3 linked regions of the Lepisosteus oculatus genome follow. The protein of the gene in region 2 interacts with the protein of the main gene of each other region in a biochemical or structural test. Links are inferred from orthologs where the notes say so. Each region holds a gene or a part of one and is shown on either strand. Other genes may lie near its edges.

Region 1 (10,499 bases), on a different chromosome or scaffold from region 2:
AGATTGATATTTTTATATACTTCACTTAAAATTGACAGATATCAGATCAAACAAGATTAAAGACAATTCCTGGTACCTATCATCTACTGTGCTGTCATAGCAGATGAGACTCAACGGGAGAGACCTAGACACATATTTGCAATGAGGTGGAACAGCCAGGAATCTGTAAGACCTCACAAATCAGATTTATAGTCAGCTTCTGCATGTCTTCACATACAGTACAAGCCTCCTCATAATTGTCTGCTCTCTTTTTCACATTTTAACGCACTTAGAATTTGACATAAACAGTTTTACTCATTTGACCATTTTTGTTGCTAAATGAAACTTCTGTTTCTTAAAATCAACATGAATTTATTTCTCAGTTGTTTAATTCTAATCAGAGACTTCTTCAATTCAAGAGACTTCCTTTCTGTCGGTCGGCAATGTGTTATTTAATAAATACATTTGACTGAGATCACTACTTCCTAAGTACTTTAGAATGTGTCAACATTTAGTTGCTATTAGGCCTTACATGGCTCAATGCCTTACTCAAATGCATCATTTACTCTAAAATGTGTCCTTTTAACTCGTTTAAAATGCAAATGACAATTGACAGAATATTTTAGATTAAGTTAGCGTATTCAAACTGTTAGTATGTCAGTTTTGATAGATTTTATTTTGATGGATTTGTTCCATAATTTTTCCCCCCTAATAAGCAAGAACCACTGGTTACTTATGCTGGTATGACAGACATATCTAAAGATTTTTCAAATATTATCTGTTTTTAGAAACCGCCTTTCTTTCAGGTAGAAAATGGATGTAAAATGGCAGGCAGCATTATTTGCACTAAGTTTTATTTCTTGATTGTTTCATAGTCATTTTAGCTTTTCATTACAGCTTCTTAAAAAGCGAATAGCAATACAAGGTAGTGTGAAACTTTTTTTGCAAGAACACTACTGCGATCTTTCAAAAAAGAGAAAAATTGCTACTCCTCTTCCCCAGGGGGTTATGGCAGAGATGCATTTGTTTAGAGTGCCACAGATTGGCACACATTTCTACAGTACCTGTATGCATTGCTTTGCTCTCTTGGTGTTCTAAACATTAAAACAATTAGCTGCAAAAAAACAGTGATGGAGCCTGATCATACAATGTAGATTATAACATAAAATAAACCAACATCCCTCCGGGTTCCAGTCGGGATTCTGGTAAGGCACAGGGAATTGTAATCTTTTAGAAATGCTTGAAAGAGTCTGCCTCTGGACAAGGCTGTGATGGAAGGTTGGGGACCCTCTTTAAGTTTAAAGGAAACCATATACAACCAGCACAGCTGTGTTTGTATCTCTGCCAGAAGTAGACAAAGATAGTTTGCCTCCATCACATTACTCTGCATCACCAGCAGTGAGGATTTAATGCAGATAAAACAATTATTTAATTTTGGAAACAGGTTCCCTGTTCATACTGAAAACATAAAATACAATTTTTAATAAGACTTTCAAATAACCATTGATATGACAATATAATAAAATAATAACACTATTTTGACCCATATATTGATTTGACTTTTTATGCCAAAGTAAAAAAAATCTATTCCTAAAGTCTCCAGCAGATTATATTGTTTAAAATGCAAAATACTAAAATGGAAATTACATTAAAACATTTCAATTTTTTTTTTCAGTTATTGAACCAATTACCTTCAGGTATTAAAAGGGTTCATGCACCTTGTGCTTTTCAGCTGCTTAAATAAAAAGTTTATACATGCAGAGAATATGAACACATTTTCTTTTCCTTTTTCTTATATTGTTAGTAATCACACAGCATTTTGGATCAAAAATAAAATTATTTCGTTTTCTCCATTAACCCCACTGAAGTAATTTAGGTGAAGATATGCCTAATGACAAAGTAAGATTTACTGCATAGATAGTTGGTAATACAATGCCCTAAATGTAACGTAATTATTCAGTTACTTCACAGAGAAATTAGGATTAGCAAATCACGTCTACAAGAAAGGAACCTTAAGCACCATATAGTTTAAAACACGCATTATGCATAATGCTACAGAAATAAAATGTCTTATATCCCGAAATGTAGTTGTATACAGTACATTCCTAATGGTCCACTTACCTTTCTGTAAGGTCCTTCTTAAAATCCTTCTTAAAATCACATTACTTTCCTTTGCTAAATATAGGTTCTCAGTGATTTACTTGGGCTGGCTGCCTCTGCTCAGCTGATCGTGGTTTACAAGGATGATTCTGTGCTTTAGATCAGTGCTCTATATGCATTTGGGCCACTCCCAGATTCTCAGTGCTACCTTCAGAACATGCACAAGTTTTATGATTGGTGAAGAACCATGACTGCAGCTTTATCTACAAGTCATCACTCATCACACATAAGTCCCTTTTAATTCCACAAAAGGACCTTCCTACAACACAGAACCTTACTATAGCAAGGCGTGATCTGTCTTTGTCTTTAAATGGGATTCACTCATTCTGCAAAAAGTGTACATTAAAAATTCACACGATCTCTCAAAATTCCTCAGGAACAGGATAGGACTGTTAAAATGTTCAGATTTACAAAAGAAGAAATTGTGTTCTATGACAGCTTTTTTTAAATAATGAGGAAATCTAGACTTTTTACATCTTGAAATTTTTAAATGGTGTAACCATCTGATTCAAACATTATACATAAAAGTATTGATTATATATTTTATAGAGGGCAGTACACAGTGGTCAGCATTGCTGCCTTGAGGTGCTGGGGCACTGGGTTCAATTCTGGACTTGGAGGGCTGTCTGTGTGAAGTTTGTATGTTCTGCCATGTTCATCTGGGTTTTCTTTGGCTGCTCCAGTTTCCTCCCACAGCACAAAGACATGCTCGTGGGTTAAGTGGCTTCTGGGAAAACTGACCCTGAAGTGAGTGTGTGTGTGTTTGTGTCTGTGTCTGTGTGTGCCTGGGGATGAACTGGCGTCTCCTCCAGGGTGTATCCTGTCTGGGATAGGCTCTGGTACTGCCTCAGCTTGTGTGATGTAACAGAAACCTTAGGATGCAGCCTGTTGTCTGGGAGGAACTAAAGGGGTTGAGTCACCAATCTGTATCAACCTGTAAAATATAAGTGACATAAAAAAGAATACAACTAAAATTCAACTTAACTAATAATTCATTCGATGGAGCATATAAAAAAGAAAATTTTACTGAACTGAAAAAGACTAAAGGTATCCCTTAATCAACTTTAACGGTAGCTTCATTACTGGAATGTGAAGCTGAAACAAATGGATGTGCCAGATGCATTCAGATAGAAAGGAAATTGTGAGAAATAAACTGACTTACTCTCCTAATTCATCAAACACTGAAGTGTAACTTATTTTTAGCAACTGGTTATATGATTTGATATCCATTTGTCTGAAAGAGCCAGAAAGAGAACACTTCTTAATTAGATTTGAAAACTGAGACATAAAGGCTATCCAAGCCTTTAGAAACTCCGGTTAGAATTTTCTCACTAAATATTAATGTGATTTACCACTTGTTTTATTCCAATACAAGCATCACACTTTTGTATTTGAGCATTTTCTCTTTTTTTATCACAAATTATAAAAATTCAAATGCAATACAAGAACTGTAAGCCTGATTTTTAACCCATACTGTACTTGTTTAAACCCCCTGGCTGCTTTGTGTTCAACTGAAAATCATAACTTGTGTGAGAAGAGTCCTCTTATACAGTAAATGCAAATTGAAAGGGAGCATAACATTAATGTGACATAAACATAGTATGTGGAAAAATCATCCTTAATCAGAAATGCCATGATGCACAAGGTGCTTATTTGTTTGCAAGTAAATTAAAGTAGTAATTAATAATTTAAACCAATTTAAATCACACCAGGCTATCATTACATCTTTCTCAGTCAACAGAATGTTATTCTCCTCTACCTAGTGTAGGCAGAACACACCTAATACAAGTGTCTCTGCCATTAGATAACCCTATGCTCTATGTTGTTTTAGCTCTAAAGAGAGCTTACGTTGAGAGGAAGGTCATAATGGGAAGGCTGTTCATAGAGAAAAGCAAATAAAGCAAACCACCAACCAGAGTTTTTTTTTTAAATAAAGCTGACAGTTGTACAAAAACATCTGTTTATTTCAAGCCTTTAACTGATAATTCTGGTGGTGCAGTCCAGGAATATTATTGTTTTCTCCTCTCTGAAAGCTCCACGGCCGAAACGTTGTTTTTTCTGCTCTTTTCAGCATGGAATAAACGTATTACTTGTTCCTTTGCAACATTTTGAGGATGTTATTACACAGATGTGATTCGCAAGTCAAGGCGGCTGCATGTCAAGAACTAGCGGACAGCGACGTCTAGAGCTCAGGAGCTCAGTTTGGTATCCTAGACCTAGGCAAACACGAGTCAAGTCGCTGGTTTGCTGTACAGGTTCCTGAACTGTACGGTGTGGTGCATGTGTACATGTCCTGTATACAGGACCGAGCACTTTAAAAAAAAAAAAAACTTTTTAATCTAACATCAAATAACACAAAGGAGAAAATGTATCCCCCAAAAAAGGATAAGGGAGAAAAAACAAAACAAAGCGCAGAACAGTACGCTTCCAGAGGTAATTAAATCAGGACCCAAGTCAAAATTTTGACATACATCAATTGTGTTTTTTGCCTTGTTATTTTTCGAGGTTTTAATGGAGTTCAAGTCATATTACTTTTCCCTCTCGCAGGCGTTACAGAAGGGAGTAGCGCTAAACCCTTGTGTTCTGCGGATGTGATCATCTATACATAACAGCGCTAACAGACTAATTGTTAATTAACGCACGGAGTGGGACAGAGCATTTTTTTTTCTTTTTTTTTTATTAAACATAAAGAAATTTACAAATACAAATACAACAAGAGGATCAGAGTCATGTACAAGAGAAAAATAATGTAGCAGAAAAAAAATATTTAACTATCAGAGGTAATTAAGTAATTATGTGATCAAATTGTATATTTTAAACGTATCATATTTTCCTTGTTTTAATATCTCTCAATTATTTATAAACTTTAGTTTCAATATGCATGCGTTCCCTGTAAAAACTAAAATTCAGCTCACAGTTTTATACAAAAAAATGTTTTTCTTTTAACAACATTTCGAGTACCTCTGACATTCATGAAAAAGATATACACAAAAGGGAGTGGGACAGAGCAGTCGCGCCGGAGAAGCCCCTCGCTGACGTCACCGCGCAGCGGCTTCACGCACGGCGCGCCTGCGCAGAAGGGAGCGGCTCCGCGGGCGGAAGGCCGTATCTGAGCGGAGCGGAAGTGCGGTGGTCCTTTCTGTCTGGGTCGCCAACATGGTGAGTGCATGCGGCCACTCGCGGGGTGGAAAACCTAGAATATTCGTCGGGATGTTTTTCGCATGTGAAGGTGTAAAAGCCTAGGATCGTTTTCTGAAGGTGCCGTAAGAGAAATGCAGTGGAAAGACGTCGATATTGTGGATCGTTGCGCTGAAATGTGTGGAAGAATCTTCTAGGGGGTTGTTAGCGTGGTGAGACCAGCCATGAGATGGAGGCCTGCAGTGAACTCTGCCCGGCCTTTTCGGAGGAAAAAGCCGCTTAATTGTGTGTTTAATTACGTGTACAGTTGACTTTTTGCACCAATGTAGTTTTTTTTCTTTTGTTTCTGTTGTAACTGCTGTGTGGACGCTGTTGGAGAATTAGTTTTGTGCTTTTTAAGACCCGCTTAAATATATATTATCTAGTAAGTTCTGTGTATAAGAGATGTTACGGCATTCGGGAGTGCTTTGTTGAAATAATTCAGTTTATTCTGGTCTTTATCCGTTACGATTACCCAGTCTCATTTTTTTGGCTTTCAGTAGCGTGTGGTAATATTTTGAATAACATCCTAAATGATGTCTATGTTGTGCCAACATAAATCGTGTAAACGTCTAAATTGTAGTTATTTGTGCAATATTCTTTCAAGGAAAACTTGATCACATCTTGAGAGAGTGATCTCTTAAATTGTAGTAATATTTTCGTATCGCACGACAAACCACATGACTTAACTGCTTGATCCCGAAGCGCTTTGAAGCCTCATCTCATTGCTGCAGCCTGAGCACCGTATGTCTCCGAGGCGCCCTTCAATCCAGGGTCTGCAAGGTTTACGAAACTTCTCTTATGTTCCAGTAAAACCATTGTAAATCCTGAACACGGATCGATTTTACCTCCTGCCTCACTGCTCAGTTTACGAAGTTTAGATCTCCTTCTTACTGCTCTTCAGTGGTGACTCAAGCCTTTTGCCGGGAGAGCTGCTGCTTCAAATCCGTCTGGGTTTTCCCTCTTCTGCCAGAGCATAGTTCACTTTTTTTAGCCTTTTCCATCCTTCGGATGAGACGTGAAACCGAGGTCCTGACTCTCTGTGGTCATTAAAAATCCCAGGGCATTTCTCGAAAAGAGTAGGGGTGAAACCCCGGTGTCCTGGCCTAATTTCCCATTGGGCCTTACCAATGATGGCCTCCTAATAATCCCCCTCTATGAACTGGCTACATTACTCTGCTCTCCTCCCCACTGAGAGCTGGTGTGTGGGGAGCGTTCTGGCGCACTATGGCTGCCGTCGCATCATCCAGGTGGGGCTGCACACTGGTGGAGGTGGAGGGGAGTCCCCATTACCTGTAAAGCGCTTTGAGTGGAGTGTCCAGAAAAGCGCTGTATAAGTGTAAACAATTGGTATTCTTCTTATTATTATTATTGTCTGTGCCCCCACACACACTGGACAAGTCATTTAGGTGTATTTGCATGTAGGCTCCTCCTTCTTAAAGACAGTATTATGTGTAAAATCATTTTATAAAGAACTGTACACTTATAGAAGTGGCAGGCATTCCAGTTGTGGTTCTTAGCAATTTTCACAGCTAGAACACTTATACCTTCTAGTTCTGCTGTGGTTTTTGTCAGTTAAGCAGGTTGTTTTAGGGGTGAGTTGAGGTCCGCTGGTCCTGTGTGTTCCGTGTTCACCTGTGTGTTTCCCAGCTCTCAGATGTGCCCAGGGCTGTGCTGCTGGAGGCCTAACAGTACGTGCACTGTGTTCTGTTGCAGGTGTTCAAGCGCTTTGTTGAGATTGGCAGGGTGGCCTATGTGTCCTTTGGCCCCCATGCAGGCAAACTGGTGGCCATCATTGATGTCATTGACCAGAACAGGGTAAGAGATCGGCTTTACCCCTCGGAAGTTCTTATTCTCCTCGTTCAAGACGGTGTTGTTTGATGTCCTTCTCCCATACTTGATTATAAGAAGGTTAAACGTATTTAAATGGTTCAATGGCCTGTGACTGAAGTTCCATTTTGTTATTGTTTTTTGCTGCTTATCAAGTCCAGGTTGTGGTTTAATTTGTATTGGGTCAGAAATGATTTACAGAATGTAAATGCTTTACTTACAGCCATTCGGTTTCACCTCTGTTTCCGTGTGTCTTGTAGGCGCTGGTGGATGGGCCGTGCACCGGTGTGAAAAGACAGGCTATGCCCTTCAAGTGCATGCAGCTCACCGATTTTGTCATCAAAGTTCCACACAGGTACGTTTTTAAGAAAAGCCTCTCGATTGTTTTGGGGTATTTAGACGGTGGTACAAGAGCCTGTCAAACCTTGGTGTCAAAAGACCTTTCTGATGAAAAGGCCGGCAATTTGAAGCAACAACAAAGAATCAGAAACATAACAGAATAATTGAGAATATCAATATCCACGGTTCGTAATCTATTGCAGAAACAGTAATACAGAACCATTGATGATTTTCCATAAAGATGTTTTAGCTGTCCCATAACTTTAATGAACATGCAGGTAATTACCATACATGAGTTATTTAATACTGCCGGTTAACTTCGTGGACTTGTATACCAAAGAGTGTATTAGTATGGCTTGAGTAATTTAACTCTTTCCTTTTCACAGTGCTCGTCAGAAATTTGTGAGACGTGCCTGGGAGAAGGCTCAGGTTAACGAGAAGTGGGTCGAGACCAGCTGGGCGAAGAAAATTGAAGCCAGGCAAAAGGTGTGTATCTTTGTCATTCGTGCCTTGATGTACAGTTACAGCTTACAGGTTTAAGTTTAAAGTTTTGGGAGAGAGAGGCCGTATTCAGGAAGGGAGTATGGTCTACCAGCACTTCTCTGTGCTGTTTGAATGACATGAGCAAACTGTTCAGTTGATTGAAGTGATTGAAGTGCTTGGTTTAGTTTGCATCCTGTGCCACAGAGCCTTGTCATTGCAAAATAAATATTACGACCCAGAGAATTATACAGTTGAAATGCAGAGAAATGTTAGAAATCAATGAGTTGGATAGCTTCTCCTCGTGCAGTGGGCATAGCTGAATGTGTAGCGTGAAGCAGAAGGCTCTCTATTCTTGTCAGTGGATTTGTTTTATGGTTGCTGCTCTGCTTTATTTACAGAGGGCCAAAATGTCTGACTTTGACCGTTACAAGGTGATGAAGGCCAAGAGAATGGTATGTTGTTTTTGAAAAAATTTAAAGGTGTTTCTCTCATAGGCTCAGGTGACAGGTGTGCCTTTTTTCTTTGCCCTCAATGTCAATTTAATAACATTTCTGTGAAGGAAATGAAGGGAACTTTATTTAGTGAAGGGAAGTTTTTTTTCTTAAAGATTTTTGTGGTACACAAACTTTGATTTTGAATGAAGACTTTTAAGCTGAAATGTCCTCCCAAAAACTTGTGTAAAGACAAAAGGCTTTTCAGTCATTTGTGCCTTGCAATTCAAAATTGCTCTAAAAACGTTTAAAACAAATGCTACTAAGAACAACGAATAACGTCACTTTTTGTAGGTCCTTGAAATGACCCCAGTCTAATTTATATCCTTGCCTCAGACGTTCCTGGCATCCATTTCATAGCATGATCGGATCAGGTTGTGGGAATGTTTCTGTGCTTTTTGAAAAGGCTTCTTTATTTCATAAACTGCTTTAAAAGTACCAGTAAGTTGCATGCAGTATGTTTTCCAAGATTTAGTGAACAAAGTTTATTAAAATGCCTCTCATAAATTGAGTACAGCTCAAATGTGAATTATTAAGGCATTGAGTTTCATTAAGACAGTGGGCATGGTTTAACAAAGAATTGAGATTTTAACCATATCAAAATAAACATTTGGAAATATTTTATGTTGGAATGGTTTGTAAACAGAACGTGAATCTTGCATTAGTAAAACATCTGCTGATTTGCTCAAGTTCTAAACGTTTGGTCTTGTGTTTTTACAGAGGAACAAAATCATCAAGCACGAGGTGAAGAAGCTCCAAAAAGCAGCACAGAAAAAAGCATAATTTTTTAAGATTTAAAATAAAATTGCTGTCTTAAACTGAAGAGTGGTTTGCTTTTGTTTTCTAGATATTTTTTTATTTTAAACTTTACATACATAAGTTATACGGTTGAGGTAAGGGGGTGTTTTCCAAGTTGGTTTAAAAGTCTGAATTTTAACCTCGGAGTTGTCCGTAGGCTGAGAGTTTTGTCATTACACCTTTAATGTGGGGTTCCATATATGGATGGAACATGAGGCTTGTTGATAACACTCCCTTTCTCTGACCATGGATAATTTTTAAAATATCTCATTCTTGGGACAACAGGCTATACAGCTCAAGTCAGTTTATCATGCCCTGAGATTGAATAATATAGTAGTAATGTTTAGAAGGAGATATTTCTGTAAGGAGCCGAGTTAGACCTCTTTAGGTATTCTTTAAAAAAATCTGTAATTCTCCCAAAGCATCATTTTTATATTAGTTACATGCAAAGTGAATAAAAAAGCGGTATGTTTTGCTGTTAAACATACAAGACTGTAGAAGGTCTTTTATAAAACCCTTGGTCAATTTGACATAATTGATTAATTCATAGTTCCACCGGCTAAACAACTTTTTAGCTTGACAAGTATGATGTATTAATAGTAGCACATCCATCATTTTAAGGCGCAGACAACTAGAGCTTGCCAGCGGTGGGACTGCAGATGTGCTCTCTCACCCTGTAAATTTAAGTGACACTTTAGATAACTGCATCATAATCTTGAAGTCCAGGAACTGTAATGTAGTTATTTGTGATATTTCTGCAGAGCATAATCTAGGTTTCAGGTTTTGTCCAAATGACAATGGATTAGGGTTGGGAGGCTACTAAATATCCAATCACTAACTTTAGCCTCACGGACTTCCAACGTCTTCATGGTTTGTGGTTTACTATCCATTTTGTTCTTCTACAGTATCTTTAAAAGATCTTCTGACTTAAGAAAAATTGCTATTTGTGATCATGTCTAAAGAATTTTATTGTGGTTTACAGTCTATTCTAGTGTTGGCTGAAAACATTTTAACACGTCCTTGGAATGTTTTCATCTTTAAATCAAGGAAGAATGCAGTTCAAGAAAATGTTGATATACTGTACATGTGGTATAAAAACATGCAATGGAAATTGTGCACTTGCAGCCTCCTCCATCTTGTGCCATGCGCCATGTGTCAATGGATGAGCTATAAGGGCAAAGTTGAGGCACAATTTCAAATAGAATTCTTAAAGCCTCCACATCCAAGCTCATAAAGTAGATA
Region 2 (11,295 bases):
ATCCTCAAAGGCTTTTATCGAGAAAGTCAGCCCAGCAGCCTTCTTCAAAATGAACTAACACAAACCAGAGGATACAAGTGATGATGACACAGAAGTGTATTTAAATGTGCAAAAAAGGCCATCTTTATCCACTTCTTTATCCAAAGAAGAAAATGAAATTACCCAAAAGAATGCATGAATATGAAACAAGCTACCAAACCATGTGGCTGTAGTTGATACTTAAGCTTCAGTCAAAAAAAAAGCTAAATGAGATACTTGGCTCAATTAACTACTAACTACCAAAAGGGCAAGATGGGCTGAATGGCCTCCTCTCCTTTGTATCCTGTCTTATGTTTTAAATAAAAATATTGCAGACAGATATACTAAGAATTAGACATGTGGCTCCTTGTGCTCTCACCTTCTGAGGGCTGGAGCAGCTGTCTTACTTAACCCTCTCTTTTCAAGAGACTAGCTTTCCTGCTTACATAAGGCTCCTCTGGGCCTGCACACATCTGAGCCAACAAACTCTAAACACCTTTGCATTTTACAAAGCCAGTCAAGTAAATTACACTTAACACTTGTCACAAGGTAAATCATTAATTTAAAAATGACATTAATATTCGTTGAACCCAGCAGAATCGCTGTACTGCTTATCAGAATGATTACTCTTCCTGCGTTTTTTCGATTTCTGTTGAAGGTCTGTCTCCGGTCTTGACAGCACAAGGAAAGAAGGCTTTATCAGTTAATATGTACTGATTGGACTGTAATAATATAGAGGTATTCTCTGGAGTACTGTGGTGGGAAACACGGCGAAGGGTGTTATTTGGCACGACAGCTTTATAACAAATAAAAAGTGCACTTTAAAGATCTTGGACGACTTGAGCTGCTAAGGCTAAAGCACTTCAAATACACCAAAGGAACTAGGCCGCCGGCTGCACAAACCTACAATTCTATTTTTATTTTCAATAAAAAAGATCATACAATTTCCAAATGGTGCCCATCTAGAAGAAATACTATATATATATAGATTCTGGAACTGACAGAATATAAAAATGATCTATGCTTTTCTTCCCAAATTGCATAAAAATAATAAATAAGGCAATCTACAAAAAACTAATCGGAGCCATTACTGTTAAAATGGATATTCCGATTGCGTTAACAAAATTTCACTTACTATAAAACACTTTTTTTCTAAGATGAAAACCTTACACTTTAATTTATCACTACCACGGCCTGACTTAAACCTTTTACTTTGAGACACGACCTTCTCGTCTTTTTCATCCAGAAGAAGCACGAAAAAAGTGAATTACTTAATGTCTTCAGTGTTATTTGTAAAAGAAAATATGCAATCGTAATTTTAACGAATTTAATGGCACGGAAATTGTAGTATTGTTAAATAACATACTCACCTCCACGTTACTCTATATCACCTCATCCACTCTTCCAGATCCAGGAAGTGAAAATAAAAGACACACTCCATGAGAATGGTGTCACAGCAGTTACTGCTCTGACGGAACCTATGAGCTGTTTTAAAACGTTCCTCTATGTATCAGTACCTTACGCTGTTAGTCGATTTCAGGCACGAGTTAACTTAAACATCTCACATCTTTGGCTGAATCTTGGATCTTGGATCTGTCATTTTCGTCTTATAGTTTAAACAATCACGCGGTGATGCAGAAGTACAGCTGCGGTTCTTTCAACCCTGTGATGGGACGAGAGTTCAAACCGAAGACTCCCACGATAGCAGATTAATCCGCAAGGGGGTAGTAATATCACAACGTGTCCGTTTGAGAGAGCTGAAGCGCTTAAATCAGACTGTTTAAAGTATAAATTATACTGTAACGCAACGGGGGCTCAGGCGGGCGCCCTTGCCGCATTAGGTCGGCCCCTGCACCGTCCGGGGCTCGAACCCGGGACTTCCGCGTCTCTCTGCAGCGACCTAGCCCCGTGAGCCAAAGAGAGATCTCTCTACAGCCCAGTAGCTGTGGTCCTGCTATCACAGGGAAGGGCGGTGACGTCACCCGCTCTGGTACGCCGGCTCTTACACAGTGCCTGTCGGCCGTAAGCGTTACAATACTATAATTATTTACGTCACCTGTAGATCTGAAGTTCAAATACGAAACCCACCTCTCCTCAATTCACTTACATTTTGTAAAGAACATAAGAAACAGGTGACGTTTTAATCTCGACGATATTTAAATTTAGAATTGCACTAACTTCAAAAATGTGTTGCCCATGTTACGCCACTGACTGTCAGTACAGGCGTACAGTATATGCGTGGAGTGTGCCGAAATAAAGTCTGAGCTCTTCAAACTCTACTGGTCACAGGTTTTAAAAATCAGGAAAATCTATAATTAGAGCATAGCATTCATATACAGTAGATATATTCATACATATTATGCACATACAGTACATTAATATACAGACACCTATAGAAGGCTCCACAGCCAAAACGGTGTCTCTTTTCTTTTCAGCACGGAATAAACCTTTACTTGTTCCTTCATATACAGCATATGTGCATTCATACACATACAGTACATGATACAACAATATGATACAGTTATTTACGTTTTGTAAATATAAATATAAAATCTGTACTATTTTACTTTATACTATATAATATATAGCAATATAGTGTATATACTACATATAACAATTCAGTTTTGATCTATCAGATTATTTAATTTTATATTGTACACCACACATTCTTGAAGAAAGAAAATCAAAGTATGATTATCTGAACATTTGCATAAGTGAGTTAGATGTTGTACATATACAATATAATTTTTTATGATCATCTTTTTTTATGTTCCTGCTGTAGTGTTGACATATCTTTTCTGAACCTGCTAATCACATGGAAACCAGTCAATGTATTTAAGCAGAAAAGTCACATTATGGCATAATTGCTCACCAACAAAAAAATAACCTGTGTGTTCTGAGCTTGGGCAGCACTGCGACATGGTTGGTGAACTTTTTCTTCTTCACAGCTGTTGCGGTTCTGGGTTTGATTCCGCCTTCTGTGTGGAGTTTGCATGTTCTGCCTTCTGCAAGAGCAACTGTTCTCCTGCCATTTCCCCCAAAACATGCTGATAGTGGTTAACTCTAAGTCATTCTTGTGTGTGCCCTGCAGTGGGCTGGTCAGGGTATGGTCCTGCCTTGTGATCTCTGCTACCAGCTTCTGCTAAAGGTTGCCACAGCCCTTACCACGTACAAGTCCATGTATGATGAGGGAACTTCTCAATGGCATTTCCTTTAATTGTTTACTACACAGAAGAAAAGTCCAGACAATTTCATGCAAACTGTTAATATTTTAAGATAACTGACAAGTATTCATAAATAGAAATAGTTTTATATAATATGATGCATGTAAACCACTTTTAAAGCCAGGTGTTAAAGGTTTTACAAAGTTCAAATCAATAAAGTGACAATAAAGAGATTTCATGTCAGAGACATAATTCACTAAATGCAATGCCTTCTCAGTCCCCAAAGCAGCTGATAGGAATGATAGGAAGGCCTTATAGTATAAAAATATTTCCAATAAGCTTTCCTGAGGATCAGTTCATCTGAGCCATGGTGTTCCAGGTAATCCCATTTAAATACACTAATTGTACTTTGAGTATTAACTAGGCACTGAAATGATAATTACAGAGGAAAACAGCCACTGTATAATCTGTATTAGATTTTTTTACAAATAAAGTTGAAAGAAAAATGCAAATGCTAACATGAGTTTCCTTTTCTTTGCTAATCAGAGATTTAAAGAAATCCAATAAATTTAGTCAAAACAGTAAATCTTCCCATTTTGACCATGCCAATACCAAACCACGCAATTCCCTATTAGGGGTCGGTAATGATTAATGATAAAATTTCAACATTTGTTCCACTGGGACTCAACAACTACTGTATCTCTCAGTCTGGTTATTTTTCAAACTACTGATATGGCTTATATTCAGCTTTTCCTAAATAAGATGAAGAGCCAATCTAAAAATATAGTCTGAAAAGCTTTGCATCTAAATCTTAGATCATTCTGTTTCTCTTTTAGGGTTTGAATATAGTTTCTTCTAAGAGCTGAGAGAGCACAGAAAATACTTAACAGCAGCTGTTCACAAAATGCACTGAGATTGACCTGCATTTAATACAGATAAAAGTTCTGATGGTTTTGATCTTATTAGATAACATTAAAATAATTTTTGCTGCTTAATACAGAAGTGTCAAATATGACCTTCAATTAGAACTGTTCTTGTACCATGGCTAATAACCTTCAATTAAGTGGCCTATGGTGGCTATGAAAATAATAGAGAAGATCTTGACATGTCTAGACATGAACAGGTGAGCTGTAGTATTGCCTTAGTCAGTCATAGCTGTCTCAGATGATTTACCGAACATGCAAAAAAAGAAATGTTATAGTATCAACCTTACACATATATATGTTAAGATCCCTATGAATTGCGTCTATATGCAAAACATGTTTTGTGTCCTCTATGGAAAACATTTTGTCCTTCATGGTTTCTTGTGGATTTTTGACACGATTTTCATACCTTTGGATATCCCTCTGGCAAAGCCTGGAACACGCTGTTGAAGCCAATAACCTGACTTCATTCAAAAATGTCTGGCTGAGACCTCTGGATTGTCTACTATCAAATGGGCTTGATGGGTTGAATGACCTTGTCTTGTTTGGGTTTTTTTTAGGTTCATCAATGAGGTCTACATTCCCATAATGCATATTAGAGAATTATGAAGATGTACAAATCTCTTTCCACTTTATTTGGTGATTTGTCTGTACGCTTGATTTGCAAAACCTAAAACAAGTATTTGAAAAACAAGTTTCTCTGTGCTCCTTTCCATGTAATTAGGACTTCTGAATTTCCTCAGACGGGAAACTCAGAAAGAACATACCAGCTGAGCAAGTAAAACAATGTCCTTGATAATTCAGAAAGCTCTTCTATCAGCAGGGTTTTCCAACTTTTTTGCCTACCTGCATGGCTTTCACAAGGTCAGGGTGTTTCCTGTGTATTAGTGAATTGGTATTCCATTTATATACAGTATCATTTTTTTTTCAGATCTCAGCTACATTTGATAAAGGTCTTTTAGGTAGTACTGGAAATCAATTTAAATGCTGTGAGTTACATTCTTGAATGGCAGTTTTTGAGAATCATTGTTTTTTATTTTAAAGTTATAACGTCACATGGATTTGTGTTAGCCTACAAATACTCCCATCTCACTATGAGAGCAAAAATGAGTTATCAGCTTGTAAACAGTTTTTGTTCCAGAAAAGCCAAGGTGGGAATATGAAAAATGAATTTCTCACATCAAAAAAAATGATATAGCAATTTATTGCCATATAGTAGTGCAAGCACTTCCATAGGTTAAAAGAATTTAGCAACTGATAATGATCAGTCTCTAGATAAAAATATCAGTTTATTTACATTTATTTTAAACGTGCTTATACACAAGCAGTTTAAGTTTAAATAAATTGTAGAATGGTTGCATTTTGATTTGTTTTATAAATTCTCTCAGTTTGTTTGCAATAACTAATTCTCAACAAAAAAGGATTGTTTAAGTCCAACTGGTATAAAAGTGATAAATAAACATTACTGAACAATTGGATTAAACTTTTCTGACATTAATGTTTGCATGTTTAGTTGTTGTCTGCATGATTCCCATAATGTAACCCCTTATATTTGATATATTTGACATATAAAGTATTCCCATCCTAACACTAACCCCAAGCAACACAAACCTTAAACTTGCATTTATAAGTTATTGTAACCAAGGAACATGGAGTAATGGTGTTTTCACTTCAAATAATAAATACTGTAGGCGAATGCAGATCTAAAACATTTACTGGTTTATTTATGTTTTCTTTCTCTAGCTATAAAAAATAACAATACAATGCCAAAAGAAACAATTGAAAACAAATCTAAAAATTAAGCCAAAGTCTCTTCAACCACAGTAAGGACCTTAACATATTTTATTTGTGCTCTTAACAGGTGCTGGGACTAGCGTTTTAGACATGTTTAGCTAACAACGTCAAGAGATAACGTTCCCACATCGCTTTAAAGTCTTTAACACGTCAAACCAGTGAGATTCTTGACCCCGTCAAACTCCAGGACAGGAAAAAGCAGCCGGTCTTGTTTCAACGTGTCATTCCCGTATAACCTGAAAGGTGGCGCCATGGCATAAGTCTTTACCCCTATGTCGTTCACTAGAACGTTCTACAAAAAATAAAACCCAAATAACGAGTATGTGCTTTTAAAGCACATCTCTTGGACCTCGGACTGTAGATGTATAGGTTCATGTCTCTATTTTATTTTTTGGACTTATATATATTATATGCTGGAAGACAGTGCCACAGATGACTGTGTGTGCTACTAAGTGACACGCCTGGCTTGGACTGGTTTACTTGATCTGATTTTACTTTTCTTGCTTGCGTAAGCACTTTACAAGTTGTACTGGGTGTCACTGCTAGCTAAGTTATCTGTGATTTTTTTTTCATTGATGCCATTTATTTTCGTTATTATGTAATGTTTTTGTTCCTCGCTCACACAGAACACTTCGCAGACGCTTGTAATAATTATCTCTGATAGACTTCAGAAACAATTGGACGTTTTTACGTATGTCAGCAAATCCCTGGCCTCCTAATTGTAAAAAAAGAACCTCAATTATTAGCGCGAAGCAAAGAAATAAAATATTGGAAACTTCCCCAATTACCAGCACACGTGACCTGCCCTTGGCAGAGAGGAGAGTTTCCCTGCGGTGTGCCTGTGTGTCCTTCCGCCCTCACTGTAGCCGCTAGTAGTATGTCAACGAGGCGCACTACGTCGGGTTTAAATGCGAAATATTTATTTTCGGGACACATTTTTCCGTTGCCGGTTTCTCTGTTGCGTGATCGGGACACCTGCGATTAAAGCGGTGGTAAAATCACAGCCACAGCAGGACTATTTGTGCACGGCGGCAGGATATATGGTGTAACCCAGTTTGTCTTTTTCTCTCGGAAGCCATGATGGAACTTTAGAGTTTTTTTTGCTGGAGAGGACGGAAAAAAAGGAAGGAAGATCGTCTCTATATATATTAAAATATTTTAAGCCCCTTTTATTATATATATTTTTTAAATTTTAAGGTGGAGGCTGTCAGTTTTTTTTCCCTGGTGTTTTGGACGAGGACGAGGATATTGTGTGCTTGGAGGGTTTCTGGGGGGGGGGGGGGATTTTAATATATATATTTTGTGTGTGTCTTGTCACAATTTTTCGGGGTTATTTTTTCGGGATCGCTGGAGAGGCTTTCTCTCCGCTTTTCTTCGCCTCAATCACGGCGGCGGCGGCGGATCTAGAGACTTGGGCCGTATTTGAAAGCTCACGGTTCGGGAACTGGGGGATCGCGGGAGAGATTGCGGGATCGGGGAAGCCGGGCCCGCGGAGGAGCGGCGAGAGGAGGCCCTGCCAGCAGCCATTCTAGTCCAGCCCGCAGCCGCAGGCAGCCGCCACACTCGGGCAACTGCGAGACCCGGGGAGCGAGCGGGGGAGACCGGGGGACGGCCCTTTCCACAGCCCGGGGAGGCAACGATACCCTCTCTTAACATACAAGCCCTAAAGACTCCTTTCACGGCGATGGCTGCGATCATCAAAGAAATCGTCAGCAGAAACAAAAGGAGATACCAGGAAGATGGATTCGACTTGGACTTGACCTGTATCCATTTTATACATATTTTAAGTATGCATATACATGCATGCGTGTCGGCATTTTAAACATTATTCTTAGGTATAGGGGGCTGAGATCCGATTCATGTTGAGTGGAATATAATGTTTTTGAGTCGAGGTCTTTTTTTAAATAGAGGTAAGTGGGATGTGGACGAGATCTGGATAGTTGCAGCTCTTATGGCCGGAGAGCTTTCACATTTCGCTGTAAGTGGACATTAAAACGGTTCCTGATCGCACTGGAGCATTGTGCGGGTAAAACGCCGTTTTCTTTCAGAAAAAGCGGCGCGGATGTGCGTTTTAGTGCGGTGGAGAAGCGATAAATGAAACGGAAAAGGAGCCCATTCTCTTTCGCAGTGTGACGAGGTCTTGGCCTAGATAAGGGAATGGATTAGATTAAATTCAAAATCACTGCTACACAAAGAGACATTGCATCAGCAACCTGCAGAAAACCAGTAGGTACGTGTCTCTGTATTGTGTGGCCAAATTAAATGCTTAAAGGTCTGGAAATATGCTGTCATTTAGCCAGAATCGAGGTTGATAAACGTGTGGTGGGGGTGGGGGTAGGTTTGGCTAATTTAGCCAGCGAGAAGAAATGTGTTGTAAAATATGCGTAGATGTCGTCTTTAGTAAGTCTTAGAATTGCAAATAGCGGGTTTATAATCGGTGTGGGTTTAAAAAGATGGATGTGTTGCCTACGGTCAGTAAAACACGGAAAGGATCAATTTAAAATAATCGGCGGTGGATTTATATATCGACAGGGACCCTTTCCAGTCTGTCGTCGTGTTTTCCAAAAGGTGGCTAAACATTCATGTCGTGTCGTTTGGGAATGTCATTTCACAGCTTGGCATCGGCGGTCTGTGAGTATCTGTGGGTCCAGCAGGTAAACCGTGCGGCTCCCATCCCCAGGCCTGCTGCCTTGGGTACCTCCTCGACAGAAACGCGGTTGACTTGACACTTCCACTAGCAGGGCGAAAACATCTATCGATTATCAGCGAGGTCCTCCGGGCACATCATCACCGGCGATGGCAGAGGCGTTTGATCTTGTTTAAATTCTCTTGTCTGTGGAACGAGAAATGATCTTTGCGTTTTCTCAGTAGTTAATGTGCATCGCTCCTTTAGGTAGATCTGGATTACGATGAGTGCATTTTCAGGTAATTATAGGTGAAGTGCTGCAGTACTGCTATAAAGTGCTCCACTTTGTTAACGGTAAAACTGATTTTGCGGATAGTTGAATTAGAGGCTGGATAGCACCACGGACCTATATGTAATTGGATACCTAAAGCTGCTTTTCCTTCAGGTTAGTGGTACTTTCCAGGCCAAACAGTAGGCCAAGACTGTGCTTCAATCACATATGTACAGTAGTCTCGCAAAAGGCAAGGCATTACCACTCTTCCTACAAGAAGTTTACCACAGACTGTTATAGAGACATGAAGTGCTTTTTTCTTTTTAGATTGAGTTGCAAACACATTTCTTGGTTTCCAGTGTAGTGAGGAGAGACAGAGATGGGATCAGTCCGAATCCCCATAAGCAGAGAAAATCACAGGCCTTGCTTTCCACTAAGACAGCAGGGGCACTGAGCAGAGACCTGCTTGTCTCGCCAGCTGGATACTGAATCCTGGCTCCTGGCTGTACTATTGGGGCATGCCTTGACATAATCAAAATACTATGTACATAATTCGACACTTGTCTGCTCCTCAGTTTAGTTATGACAGTCTTTGTTGGAATTAGACATTGTCGACAGGAACGGTTTTCAATCAATGTGAAATTTCTTCCAGTTGTTGAAAGACATGGTTGGAGCTTAGCATTTTGTTTTTCTCAGATTTGTTCTTCTATGAAATTGGTTTTCACCATGCACATGAGTATAAAGAAAGAACACACAGGCCTTGTAATGAGTTCTAGAAATAGGTTTTGTGCTGTAGGCAGATGCATAAATTTCCACTGTATTTTGGTTTAAATGAATTACTAATTCCCACAGTCTCCAAAAAAGCTATTAACTGCTGAACAGCTGTAAAAATGTTGATGGTATTACAAGGCGTCTTTCAGACCTTTAGGAACCTTTTGTGGGCCTCAAACTAAAATATGCACCTTTAGTTAATACAAACTTCTTAAGTTCAAAATGTTTTTAGAACCATTTTTCATCTGTATCTTATGGCATTGTAGGACAGCACCTTGGGGAAAACCTCTGGGAGAACTGTTAGGATCATAGCTACCAATACTTGGATCTTCCCTTCTTCATTCAACCGGACCACTTGAAATCCAGCACGCAGTGTTTTAACAACAGAAGATGTTATTTCAATCTCGGGCTGCCATCCCTGCTGTTCAAACTGGAATATTGTCCATTTTGAGGGTCAGTGGGTGTTCTAACTGTGGGCAGGTAGATCACTTTTTCTGTACATTTACACCCCATCTGTTAACTGCCTCTCGCCCAGTTACCGTGTTTAAGGACAGGAATATAACTTGTCCTTTTCATCTCTCTGAGCGTTGATAGTCTTCCAGCTTTGGTTATGATATGGTCTTTTCCTGATTGTTCGATGGCTTTTTGTTTTTTTGGTCACTGTGAATTGAATGTAAGGCCCCGATATTGATGGCTTTCTATGTGCTAGCCCCCAGTGAGGCTGGTAACTGGTTTTCCTAATAAGTGTTTTTTTTTATGGGGGATGAGGGGATGGGTAGCCATTTTAGGATGCTTTCTTAATATGGTTTAAGAAAATGGAGAAATGTGTACACCTCTGTAACTGCATTGTCACCCCTTGTCATCTGATTGTTTAGTAGTGAGCTATGAATTGGTGTGTAGAGAATGTTGGAAAATTATGTCTAAGTGCTCGATTCTAAAGTTACTGGGTTTTTGGTAATGCTGGCATGCAGCTCCTGACTGAATTCCGGCTGAGAGTAAAGGGATTTAGTTAAACCCTCACCATGAAGGACTGCAAAGGGACGTGTTTGCAGTTGCAGGTGTCATCGGTGGTCCTTTTTGCTTTTTTTAGCGTTTTGTCAGAATCCTAGACTTTTATGGAAAAGCTCAGAAAAGCCCACAGTCCCCGTAGCGAGGTTATGTGAAGTGTACGGCTTCGGAATTGGCTGTATGTGCTTTGTTACGTGATCAGAAATGATTGTCACCTCTTTCTTAAGTATAGGCCTGTTTGTAAATGGTGGGCTTTCAGTTAATTTCCAAGCATTCTAATGTTAATGGAAATGGGTAAAAGTTGGCAGTTTTTCAAAGTGGAGTTATGGAAGGTAAGCTATGGGGGACTAATTTAATAAAAGGTGTCCATGTTGTTCACTCAATTGCTCTGGCCTTTTTTTTATAAACGTTGATTTCTTTGGCGATGCCCGATTAATGCAGGAGCTATGCAATCAGCATTTTGTCCAGAGGCTCTAACAGTTATGCTGGGATTCGTTTCTCACTTTGAGCCCTTTCCTTTTCTGTATTTTCTGAACTAGTGGTTTCGACCCTGGTGTGTATTTTCAAATGGAATTAGGCCTCGTCAAATGTAAGTTTTCCTTATGAGCAGCAAAATAACTTTAATCTTAAGCCCGTTATGGTTTTTGGTCATTTTAAAATATAGGAAAGTGTAGGATTCACCTTAGTGTTGGTGTAATTCACCTAACTTTTAGTGTAAAA
Region 3 (11,105 bases), on a different chromosome or scaffold from region 2:
GATAAACATTAACTAGTCTTTGTATTTACAGTGCTAGGCTAAACAATAAATGCAGACATTTTCAGATGAGATCTTTAGTAAAATGTAACAACAATGGTATGAGCATGAAGAGAATGTTGAGGCCTGTTGCGTTTACTTCTTATTCTCTTGTATACATAATACTAAGAATGTTATGGTGGTCTTTAGATCGCTCTGCCCTTGTTAGGGTAAATGCTGAAAGCATGAACCTGAAAGATTTTTATTGGGAAGAAATATAAAGTATCAACTCCTATAGAAAAGATAAAATCATTGATCGTCACTATTATTGTTTAAAAAAAATAAAGCCTTTATTGGATTCCTTATAAAAACCAACACTCTTCCTGTTGAAACACCCAGACATTCTGCACAATGCTGACAGACTACATTTCTTCCCAGTAGCCACAGAAAAAGTGACTGTGGCCAGGTTCCAATTTAAAACAACAAAGGCCTCTTTGCATGGCTGATCTGTAAGGGCACTGGAAAAAAAAAAGGCAGTGCCATTTTTCTCGTCACGCTAGATTGCCAGGAACAGGCAGTTTTACTGCAGAAGTTTCGGCACAGAAAACACAGGAATTCAAACCTGCTAAAGCAGTAATCATCTAATGGCAGTAACTGTTAACACTCTGTGATCGCTTGATCTTCTATGTGCAGAGCATTTCAGCTAAAAACCATAAAAACAATATAAACAGTAACAGAGGTGGAATTTGCCTTTTTTCCCCAATATTATCATTTTAAGCTGTAAACTCAGATGTAATGAATCTGGAAGATTCATACAGACCTGAAGGATTTATAGGTAAGATCAGCTGTCTTAAACATGAATGTTATAGGCTGTCCTATCAATAAAAACATTCTTAAGGTGCTGACTTCATTCTAGGTCACAAAGACAACACTAAAACAGTATTTTACAGAGCATAACAAAACTCCAGATTTGCTCCATACACTACCATACACACACCCTTGCTATGAAAATTAAGAATCACTTCATCCTGCAATAGGATAGGATCTTTTTATTATTTTATTATTTACAAGAAGTCTGAAATAGAAATGAAACATTGAGCAGTTGTTCAAAATTTTTAAACTGTATTTTAGCACTTGCAACTGCAATGCAAGTGACTCCTCTAGCCAGTTCCTAAGGCAGCAGGTCGTGACAAGCTGTTAAACACAGAAAGTCTGTTACCCAGTGCTTTACAACCATGGGCTGGCAGGGAGACACATGGGAAAAGCAGCACGCAGCCCTTTTAGTGTGCCACAGACACAGGGCTGCATCACCCAGGCCCTGATATAATTTCATGACCCCAGTGTACAAACGGCTGACATGGCTGAGAGCTACTCTAATATCAAGCTGTTAAATTTGAATCCAGGGCTTGTGTATCGCTGTGATGGGCCAGACTATCTGGAGTCAAGAGACATACTTCTGAGGCTGTTTATTTATAGGCGGGGTCTCTTTTCACAGCTAAAATTAGAATAAATATATGAAGTGTGCACGCAAAAAGTGTTAACAGAATAATAAAGGAAAGCCATCTGTGTTCACATTAGTTACTTCATTTCCAAAACAGGATCAGGAGGGGTTGATTTAAGTATTTAGCATCCTTCATGAAAATTAATAAAGCTGAACTTTCAACTCCCATCAAATGTTTGTCCACATTGGTATTGTTTAATGTTCTAGATGAGGTAAAATTACTTTCACAGCTATTTAACCAACAGGTACTGGCTTCAAATATCCAGTGCTCATACGAGCTGATTGTAACTATGCAAATGCTCATATTTCACATCTGCGTAATTTAGGGATATAAATCTATTCCTTGATAAAACTGCACTAGAGCGCCTGAGTATCTATTCTACAATACAGGACCTATGTTTTGCATTATGACATTTAACTGGAGAAACGGTACTTGCATTCCCACTGGCTAAAGACTTACTCCTTTTAATTTATTGCTTTACTTTAGGAGGAACACTGTAGAAGGGTTTATAACTAATTTAAAGACCCAAAACATCACAATTAAAAAATAAGTATTCTAACAAGTGTGTACTAGTTTTACATTTTTTCTTTAAAAAACATTTCATAGCATGTTTGCAGCAGCTGTATATAGCCTAACTGCATCAACATTAAAACTGAGCTACAGCTCCTACTCTATCCTGCTGCTTTTACAAAAGGCAACTTTAGTGTTTTGTCATTTATGAACCAAATTCTTTGCAAACTGCAGTACAAGAGGTTAATCACAGACATAAAAAGTGGCTACGGTTTCTGTTCCCGAAGGATACGCCACTGACACACACCTGAAGGTAGCTCACAGACGGTCTGTGTATTGCAGAGTTAGCTGGCAGTCTTTGTTCTAACAATGAAATCAAATGCAGAACCGCAAACAGCAACCGAGGTAAGAGCACAGTACAAAAGCTACCAACTTGTTCTCCTATCACTTCAGCAGGTTTCGGAAATTTTTAGGGGATGTGGTTTTTAAACTGCAGTAACTTAAGAATGAAATGTTTCTTTTCCAAGTCAAAATGACACATTAACACTGACATTGTGGCAGAACCAAAAGACGGACTCAATCACCATAAACCTTTATCAACAGTTTCCTCACCATCTTGTAACCATCTGTTGTTCTCGGTTTTCTTCTCATGAGTGATCAGTAAAAATCTGGTGCACATAATCGGTGCACGGCAGGCACTCTACTGTATTTGCTGCATGAATGTTAGCTAAAAGAGCAGAGGTGTTTAATACTATTCTGAAACTATAATGTGTATTTATTTTTTGGTTGATGTTTTTTTCCCACAGTTGTGAAACAGTTTTATGGGCAACTGTTTCACAAAGGTATCTAAAACACAACTTCCCATTTATGATACCAGACTGTGCTGAAAGATTACATGTAAACTTTGTCTCGTGACAAAAGGGAACTGAACCTCGAGACCTTTTTACTCTTCTGTACAGACCAGGAACATGAACAAAGCAGCTTACCTTGTCCCTTTTGCCAGGGCTGCCTGTATCATTGTCAGCCTTTGAGTTTCTGTTTATTTCCTTCAGGGAACCACAGACCCTTCCTTCAGCCCCAGGAGACAAATGAATGTGTACATGAGGGGGTCCCGTCTTCGAATTATGTCTCCTGGGATTGGAAACATGGCATGAAATATGTTGATATGGCACCTCAAGGGAAAGGCTCCTCTGCAGAGCATGATGACGACCTTGGTTTCCTTCCTTTTTGTCTTCTGCCCTAAAGCCAACTTGGTAGTCAGGACTCCTCTGCAATGGGAGATATGCCGATGTGCTTCGGACGAGTTTAATGTGGCGGCACAGCGGTTCAGTTTCGAGTCCCGGCCCTTGAACAGCTTGCTCAGAAGTGCTGTGCTGCCCCTGTGTCATTGTCCTCACGCTCTCCTGGGCAACTGCCCGTTGCCGAGAGAAATGCAACAAAATGCTCGCGTGTCGTTCTGATCGGTCACAAACAGCTGTACAGTCCTGACCAATGTCAGTTTCCCTGGGTTTATCTGGCACTGGTGTGTTGAGATGCAGTGGCCTTATGTCCCTGAGTTCCACAGTGGGACAGCTGCTTTTAGACAACCGCAAGCCACTGAGCGCTGTTGCGATGGAGCCTTTGGATGCAATCTGATCGTCCTCTTGTGCAGACTCGCCGGCAGTCAGTGAGAACTGGTGGGAGGTTTGGTATGGACCACGCATCGGTGCAGGCCCAGGGCTAACTGGAGAGGCTGGCGGCGTGTTACAGGGGCTCCGTGGGAAAATGACTAAGGAGGAGCAGCGCCTCAGCGGTACCTTGGCCTTTCGTCTCGTGAAAGTCCTTTCAGGCCCTGCTGGGCGTTCAGGGATGTCAGGTTCGAAAAATGTACTGCTACCACTGCAGTACCCCGCATCGCTAGTTGTGCTGCTGCTGCAGGAACCTCCATCTATGCTTGGGCTCGCACATGACGCAGAATCCCCACTGCTTGTGCTGCTTTCATTTGCGCCAGAGCTGAAAGAGGTGCCTTCATTCCTGGTACCAGTCAGACAAGATCCAAACTCACCTTCATTACAGGAAGCATGATCAGCAGCGGGATAGTGAGGAATAGCACCTGTGTCATCGCTGACAAGTTTGCTGTTTGAACAAGTTCTTCCATCACCTGAAGCACGAATAAAACAGCCATCATGAACAGCCGCAGGGCTGATGCAACTTTCCAGCTCTCCGTTCAGTTTGCGAGGCTGCAGGGAAATTTGCAAAGAAGTGCTCTTTTTGCTGTTGTTTACCTTAGGTATAAAGACAGATGAGCAGCGCTGTAAATTTCCAAACTCTGGTGACAAGGGAGGCAAAGCCAGCTGCCCTGGAGTTACCTTCATTTGAATCGAACTCTGCCCTCTGCTCTCTGAAGGGCTCCGGGAGGACACGCTGAAGTTTTTCTCCACGCCATTGCTGCAGGTCTCCGATAAAGGGTCAGTGTTGCTCCTTCTGGTTGCAAAATGCAAGCGAAGCCGCTGTGCCATTTGTCTTACTTTCTAATCCTGTAAGCGAGTGGAAGGCATAGCAAAACCCACTTGAAAAGAAGCAAAGCAACTGCTTCGGATCCTGTTCTGTGATTACAATCATTAGTAGCTGTACATAGCCGAAATAGCTCCAGTGACAACTTACATTCCTCTCGTGGCTGTACTGAAGTTATTAGCCAGGGAGGTCAGATGAACTCTGAAGTGTAAGCACAACCAAACGAATAGCTCCTGAGACTGCACAAATCCTAATGGTCTGTATCTTTAAGGAGCCAAGGTACATTCAGTCACAGAGAACAGCATTGTAGCAACTTTAAAGGCAGAGCTCAGCTGCTGTACTGAACCCAAGCCAAAACCTCGCTTCAATTATACCTTCTCCAATTTGCACGAACGAATCCAGCCCAAAAAAAACAATCTTCTAGCATTTCACATTCAAGCGCCACAGTACTTCTCTCTTCTGCTCCAGGCCAGCCGAGCCTTTAGAACTGCTTTAAGCAGCAATGTGTCTGAAGTTTCTTTGCTGCGCCGTAACACCACTAATATTTTTACCCGTTGGGATAGAATTACAGGAAATCAGGAAGAATGAGGTCCAGCATAATTCAGTATCAAACCAAGGATTGAATTCCCAAATACTATCCATACTAGAAAACCACTGGGATTGTGCAAATATGCAGGAAGCTACTGGTAGTTATTACTAACTGCAAATGAACTACGCTTGTAAAATGATGTCTGTTTTCCTGTGAAGCCCTTTGATGAAGAGATAAAGCACTGGAAGTAGCGATGTTTACACTAAGCATTCTCCAATGAGTTACCCCAGCTATGAAACTTGTTTTGCTGAAAATCATCCATTTCACTGCCCTAATAAAGCCCAAAATAAAACTAAATAAAGTTTTCAGTATGAAGGCGAATATTCAAAACCTTAAAAAAGAATTTATTATTTTTACAGAATATCTTAGGAAAACATTCACCACATCTACTGACATCTGAAACCCTTTCTACTGTCTATCTACTTATGCTACTGTAGATCCTTATATTTCTTTTGTCTGAGCTACATAACTGGGAATCATATTTAAACCCTACAGAGAGGAAGCAACACTTCCTGACACAAATTGACACGGCACTCAACACTGATGTACCCATTAGCACCTCTAAAAGACTCAGCCGATGGAAATATCCCATAACGGAACCCTATTTGATAATCCTTAGCCATTTCACTTAAAGGCAACGTCAAGACTGCTCACCCCCTTATTATGCGGTGAGCCCTGGAAGATTCTCAGTAGGGTGTTCTTAAATATCCGTAATTCCACAACTGGCAAACCACCTGCCCGCTTTAAGTATTAATCAAAGCCGACACCAAATGTTGGAGCTGGGAAACTGAAGAGCTTGCCATGTTCTCACCGGACTCACCACCACTTGGTTTTTACTCTTGAGAATGGTTCCAAATCTCTCACAGCCTATACAACTTTCTTTAAATCCGGGGTGTCCAAACACACTAATAACATCTGAGGAGACCCAAACTCCATCTATAAATTTTTCCTCCACGTACACTTTCAACATCTGTTCATTATTCAAGGCTGCAGAGCATTTGTGAATTAAATCAAGTATATTCCCCTTACAGATTTTTTCCTTGCATATTTGCAAAAAAGTTTCTTGCCATATTAAACAATAGGACTGACAAAGAGGGAAAAAAAGAACAGTATTATTATTAACTCTTAGTGAGAAAGGTTCCTTAGCTAATAAGAAACAGAACGCCATCTTCCTATGTGGGAGTTTATTTAACCTTTATGGTAATTTAGTACAGTGGCCAGTAACATAAAAAAAAACATTTCATGTTCATACTTTACTGCTTTTAATGTGCTGACAACACATTCATTTACACTTTTAATAACACCCCCGAGCATATTCCATTTCCCTTACCTGCATTTTGTAGCAATAAAATGCAATAAAAGGTATACTGGGTCATTCATTGCAAGTTAACACACCAAATAGCTGAGATATTTATAGGCATAGCCCATGGGTTCACAAGAAAAAAAAAGATATACTTCTAAACCTTATATTTTTCATTTAGGTTTTGATTAATTCACAACCGATGAGAACTCCATGCTACTATATACAAAGAGACATTTATCCAAAACTTAGTATTTGAAACTGCTTCTAGATGTTACAAAAACACACCCTTGTTGTAAAATCAAGCCTGAGAAATACACCAAGTCAAAGAAAATGTTATTTTTAGCATACTCAAAATCCTGAAATATTTTTGTAATGATTAGCACACTCCACTACGTAGTTATTGGCTTAGAAATCTGACAGTATTACTAAATGATTTTTCATATTAAAAAAGATGATACAATAACTACAGTCAATTATCCAGCCAGATTATCTAATTCGTCGCATAGCACTCTAATGTGTGAAAGATGTCAGTTTTTCTGAAAAGTCCAGCACGTGTAATTGTTCTCAAATAATTATTCTCAAACTCCTAACAAAAATAAAATGCAGGAAGAACTACACAATTTTCTATCCGCAGTCACAGCAACAAATACATGAATACAAATATATAAAAAATGAAGAGTTATAGTGGGCTTTGTGAATGCAAAACATGACTATGTTTACAATAAACTTACCAAACGGTTTTCATCAAACACTTCAAAGAGCAAGCGGTGCTTTCGGGGATGAACCTGAAAGAAAGAGATTGGTATTTACATGCTGTACACAAGTAGTGAATAGCAAATGTATGTATTTAATCAGCCATCCATTTTCAAACCAGTTCATCCAATTCAGGGCTGCAGGCCTATCCCAGCAAGGAATGAGCACAAGGACGGATGCCAGTCCATCACATGGCACACACAGAAACAAACACATACTCACACCAGGGCCAATTGTGTCTTTGCACTGTGGGAGGAAACCCGAGCACTTGGAGGAAACTCAAGTGAACGCAGAGAGAACACACAAATTCGAGGCAGACAGCACCCCAGGTCCAGAACTGAACCCAGGGCCCAGCAGTGCGAGGTAGGAATGCTAACCACAATGCCTTTGTGCCACCCGTACTGAATCATATCTTTGTTTTTCACATAAAGTAGAATTTAATACATTTCAACCAAATATCAGGTAGACAATAACACAATAAAGAAACAGTATGAAGTGAGACATACTCTATGTTCATTTGCTACCGTTTTTGTCTAATACACACAGAGAGTAACATGAACTCTTTTTCTCATCCACTTCACATTTTCCTTTCTCTCTAAGAAATTCTATTATCAGAATTCCTGTTTTGTAGTGGACACTATGCAAAATTAAAAAAAAAAACATTAGCATTTCATGTTATTTTGTCTAGACTTTGTCTAGACGCATGTGAAAATAAATATTACACTGGCAGAAAGAAAGACAGCACTGTAATGAAATATTAGGCCTACACCCCTTTGGTGGACATTTTTAACATTTATCTGACAACAAACAAAACAAAAGAAACCTTTCAAGTTAATTTCCAAACCAGTACATTTATCTGTAAGCACTGGAAAGGCAGGAGACCATTTCAATCCATTCAGTACCCAAAACAAGACAAATGCATCCCAAAAGTCCACAAATTCAGTGTTCTGCCTAAAGAAAGGCTGAAGCCTCTCAGGTGGCTATTGTGGAATTATATCATTATTTAGGATGTGGGGGGAGGAAAGACCCTGAAGTTGGCTTTACACTGATTAAAGAGTAAATAAAGAGTTTACAAGCAGCTCAACATGTTGATGTTCATTAAGCATCTTCAGGGTTACTTTCTCTGTCCACCATGAGGTATGGCTCCTCTTTCTCTTACTTTCCCACAGACCTCCAATCCAGAAAAAAGTTTGGCCACTAAATTTTGGTAATTTCTCAACTGGGTGATCCGGTTTTCTCACTGCTAACAGCTACTGTGCACTGAGGAAATGGAAGTCATGTCATGGCATTTGCCGAACCACTTTATACCTTACAGTGTTGCAGAAAGCTGGAGCCTGCCTGGCAAGCAACGAGCGCAAGGCAGGGTACACCCTGGACGGGACGCCAGTCCATCGCAGGGCAGGGGCAACCCAATCATACATGGGGACAATTTGGGGGGAAATTTGGCCTGAACACTAGGATAACTCTCTACTCTTATCGGGAAATGCCCAGGGATCTTTAATGACCACAGAGTCAGGACCTCAGTTTAACATCTCATCTGAAAGACAGCACCCACTACAGTATAGTGTCCCCACTACTATACCGGGGCATTAGGACTCACACAGACCACAGGAAGGGTGCCTTCCCTCCTGGGAAGACCAGACTGACCACGCTCAACCCTGCTTAACTTCAGTGGGTAGCCAGTTGAGAGCTGCAGGGTGATATGGTTGCTGGCCAAGAAATGGAAGTATTCTGAATAATTTAATTTACTTGGCTGACAATTTTATTCAAAGCCTTGTACATTTGCACAGGGTTGGAATTTTACTGAAGCTAGGACCCCGCTCAAGGGTACAACAGCAGTGCCCCAGCTAGGATTTGGACCCACAACCTTCCAGTTAGGAATCAAGAGTCCTACTCACTCCTCTTCACTGACACTACAAGACACAGAGTAGCTCTCAGGCAGCTAAATCTATAATTACCACACTGGCATTATTTCATGTCTTTAAAACTGTACGATTTAATGCGTAACCCTAAACCTTTGACCAGATGCAAATCTGAACTCTAACAAGCACACCAAAATAGCTGACTGCTTAATGGGGACATAAAAATGTTGAATTTCACACCTGTTAATCTCTTACAGTTATACTACCATTATTAAAAATTTAAAGAGAACACACTCTGGAATCAGATCCTTTTATCAGCAGCTTGCTGTGCATTTTAGTGTTTCCCATACCCAAAAGGAAGGAAAAAAATAAACAGATGTTTATCTTGTTGTAAAGCTAAAAATAAATAACTATAAGAAAATAAAAGGGGTTACGGAATAGACAAAACCACTTTGAAGCTATAACCGATTCGATGATCTCATTCAGCATTTCTTGAAAGAAGCCAGAGTACCGACTTCAACCAGCCATGCATGGCTGGATAGTATGTTCCAGACCCCAACAACCCTTTGTATAAAGACCTCCTGTTCTCAGTTTTATATACAGTTTACACTTGTGCCCTCTGGTTTGTGTTTAGCTTCCAGCTCTGAGGAAGGCCCTAACACAGTTTTCATTTTTTTATGAAAACTGTGTTAGGGCCTTCAAGAATTTTGAATGTTAGAATTTTCAGTGTTACTTCTTTGCCTTTTTTTCTCTGTCCATGCGGAACATTTCTTTATTGATTCAAGAGTAACCAAAACTGTACACAATAATACAAATGCAGTCTTATTAGTGTACTGTACAATTTTAACTTCAGATTTAAGTATATATTCTTGTGACATGATTTTTTTTCTAGATCTAGAAAAGTCTAAAAGTTTTGAATGATCTATCAACATGAACGCTTAAGTCTTTTTCATAACTTTAACACATCCAATCTTACATTTGTACTGTCTTTTTCTACCTGCAAAAATAATCAAAATGTCTAAATTAAATGTAGTGTGACAAGTGAATGCCCTAATATCTTTAATTTCATTGATGTCTTCTTAGAATTTCCTTTGCAAGTTATTCAGTGTATGCTAATCATATTATACATATTCTGTCTTTTGTAAAATTGAATTTCAACAGTATCTCATCAGAATCTAGATCTTAGAAACTGTACATACCAGAATGAGAATGAGAGGAACCGCAGGTTCAGACATTTGGTGTCTGTGTTTGGCCGAGAAGCCAATGGTGTGAAGCTACCACCTGTGGGATTATGACTGAACGCCTCTACGCCAGAATCCCCCTTAAACGGTGTTAATGAGTAGGAGTCCTAATACAGATCACTGCAGGCAAAGACACTCCAAGAGCTCATCTCACCAGCTTAATCCTATTTGCCCGAACACTGATTAATACTCTTCAAATAACCATGTGGTGCCTAGACACCACATCCTTTCACATGGCAATCATTATAAAACTATCTGGCTAACGTGCAGCCTAATTTCAGCATGTCCAGAGAACACTGTAAATACATCCAACAACACATGAAACTCTACGCCAGTCCCTAAAATATTTTAGCTTGTGAAGTCCAACTAGCCTCAGATCCAACCTACATATCCTTCAGCAAGTCCTGGGTGAATTTCTTTTGAATGGAGTCCAAATCATGCCTCAGGAAACATCCTACCTCCACTCCATATACATTACTGTGTATGTGTAAAGTAGAACTGAGAACATGACATATATATTTTTCACTTCGTAATGAGCCCAGCAAGACTCTCACTGACACCAACGATACTTTTTTTCATTTTATTATCGCATTTATTAATCAGAAGGCAGTGAAAACAAGCAAGGAATTGATCTCTTCCACATGTTAATACTCAGGGAGTTGCCCTTGTTTGCAAAGACGATTGCGATAACTTTCAATGTCGAAAGCAGCAGCAATCACAGGACCGTAATCCCCCACCCCATTTCAAAAACTCTTATCAAATCTCCTTTTTTTAAAAACTGAAAAATACAATTCCACAAATTTTTTAAAATATATAAAGCCCATAAAAGCAGTGGGAAGATGGTGAGAGATTTAAACCACACAAGCTATAATATTA

The links. The genes of interacting proteins can lie anywhere in the genome.
Region 1: the proteins of ptenb (region 2) and rpl14 form a complex in vitro, tested with the Homo sapiens proteins (2 studies listed by BioGRID). The link is inferred for Lepisosteus oculatus from reciprocal best matches to the Homo sapiens genes PTEN and RPL14.
Region 3: of the proteins of ptenb (region 2) and nedd4a, one has a biochemical effect on the other in vitro, tested with the Homo sapiens proteins (7 studies listed by BioGRID, with this or other methods). The link is inferred for Lepisosteus oculatus from reciprocal best matches to the Homo sapiens genes PTEN and NEDD4.

What each region holds. Positions count from the first base shown.
Region 1 is NC_090705.1:43,034,837-43,045,335, reverse strand, and holds rpl14 (large ribosomal subunit protein eL14), read left to right. Parts: upstream 1-5,197; 5' UTR 5,198-5,295; coding exon 5,296-5,298; intron 5,299-7,032; coding exon 7,033-7,134; intron 7,135-7,406; coding exon 7,407-7,501; intron 7,502-7,871; coding exon 7,872-7,971; intron 7,972-8,366; coding exon 8,367-8,420; intron 8,421-9,179; coding exon 9,180-9,242; 3' UTR 9,243-9,282; downstream 9,283-10,499.
Region 2 is NC_090699.1:21,661,771-21,673,065, reverse strand, and holds the start of ptenb (phosphatidylinositol 3,4,5-trisphosphate 3-phosphatase and dual-specificity protein phosphatase PTEN), read left to right. Parts: upstream 1-6,739; 5' UTR 6,740-7,583; coding exon 7,584-7,662; intron 7,663-11,295. UniProt on the Homo sapiens protein: Dual-specificity protein phosphatase, dephosphorylating tyrosine-, serine- and threonine-phosphorylated proteins.
Region 3 is NC_090700.1:45,801,481-45,812,585, forward strand, and holds the start of nedd4a (E3 ubiquitin-protein ligase NEDD4), read right to left. Parts: upstream 5,303-11,105; 5' UTR 4,487-5,302; coding exon 2,975-4,486; intron 1-2,974. UniProt on the Homo sapiens protein: E3 ubiquitin-protein ligase which accepts ubiquitin from an E2 ubiquitin-conjugating enzyme in the form of a thioester and then directly transfers the ubiquitin to targeted substrates. Specifically ubiquitinates 'Lys-63' in target proteins.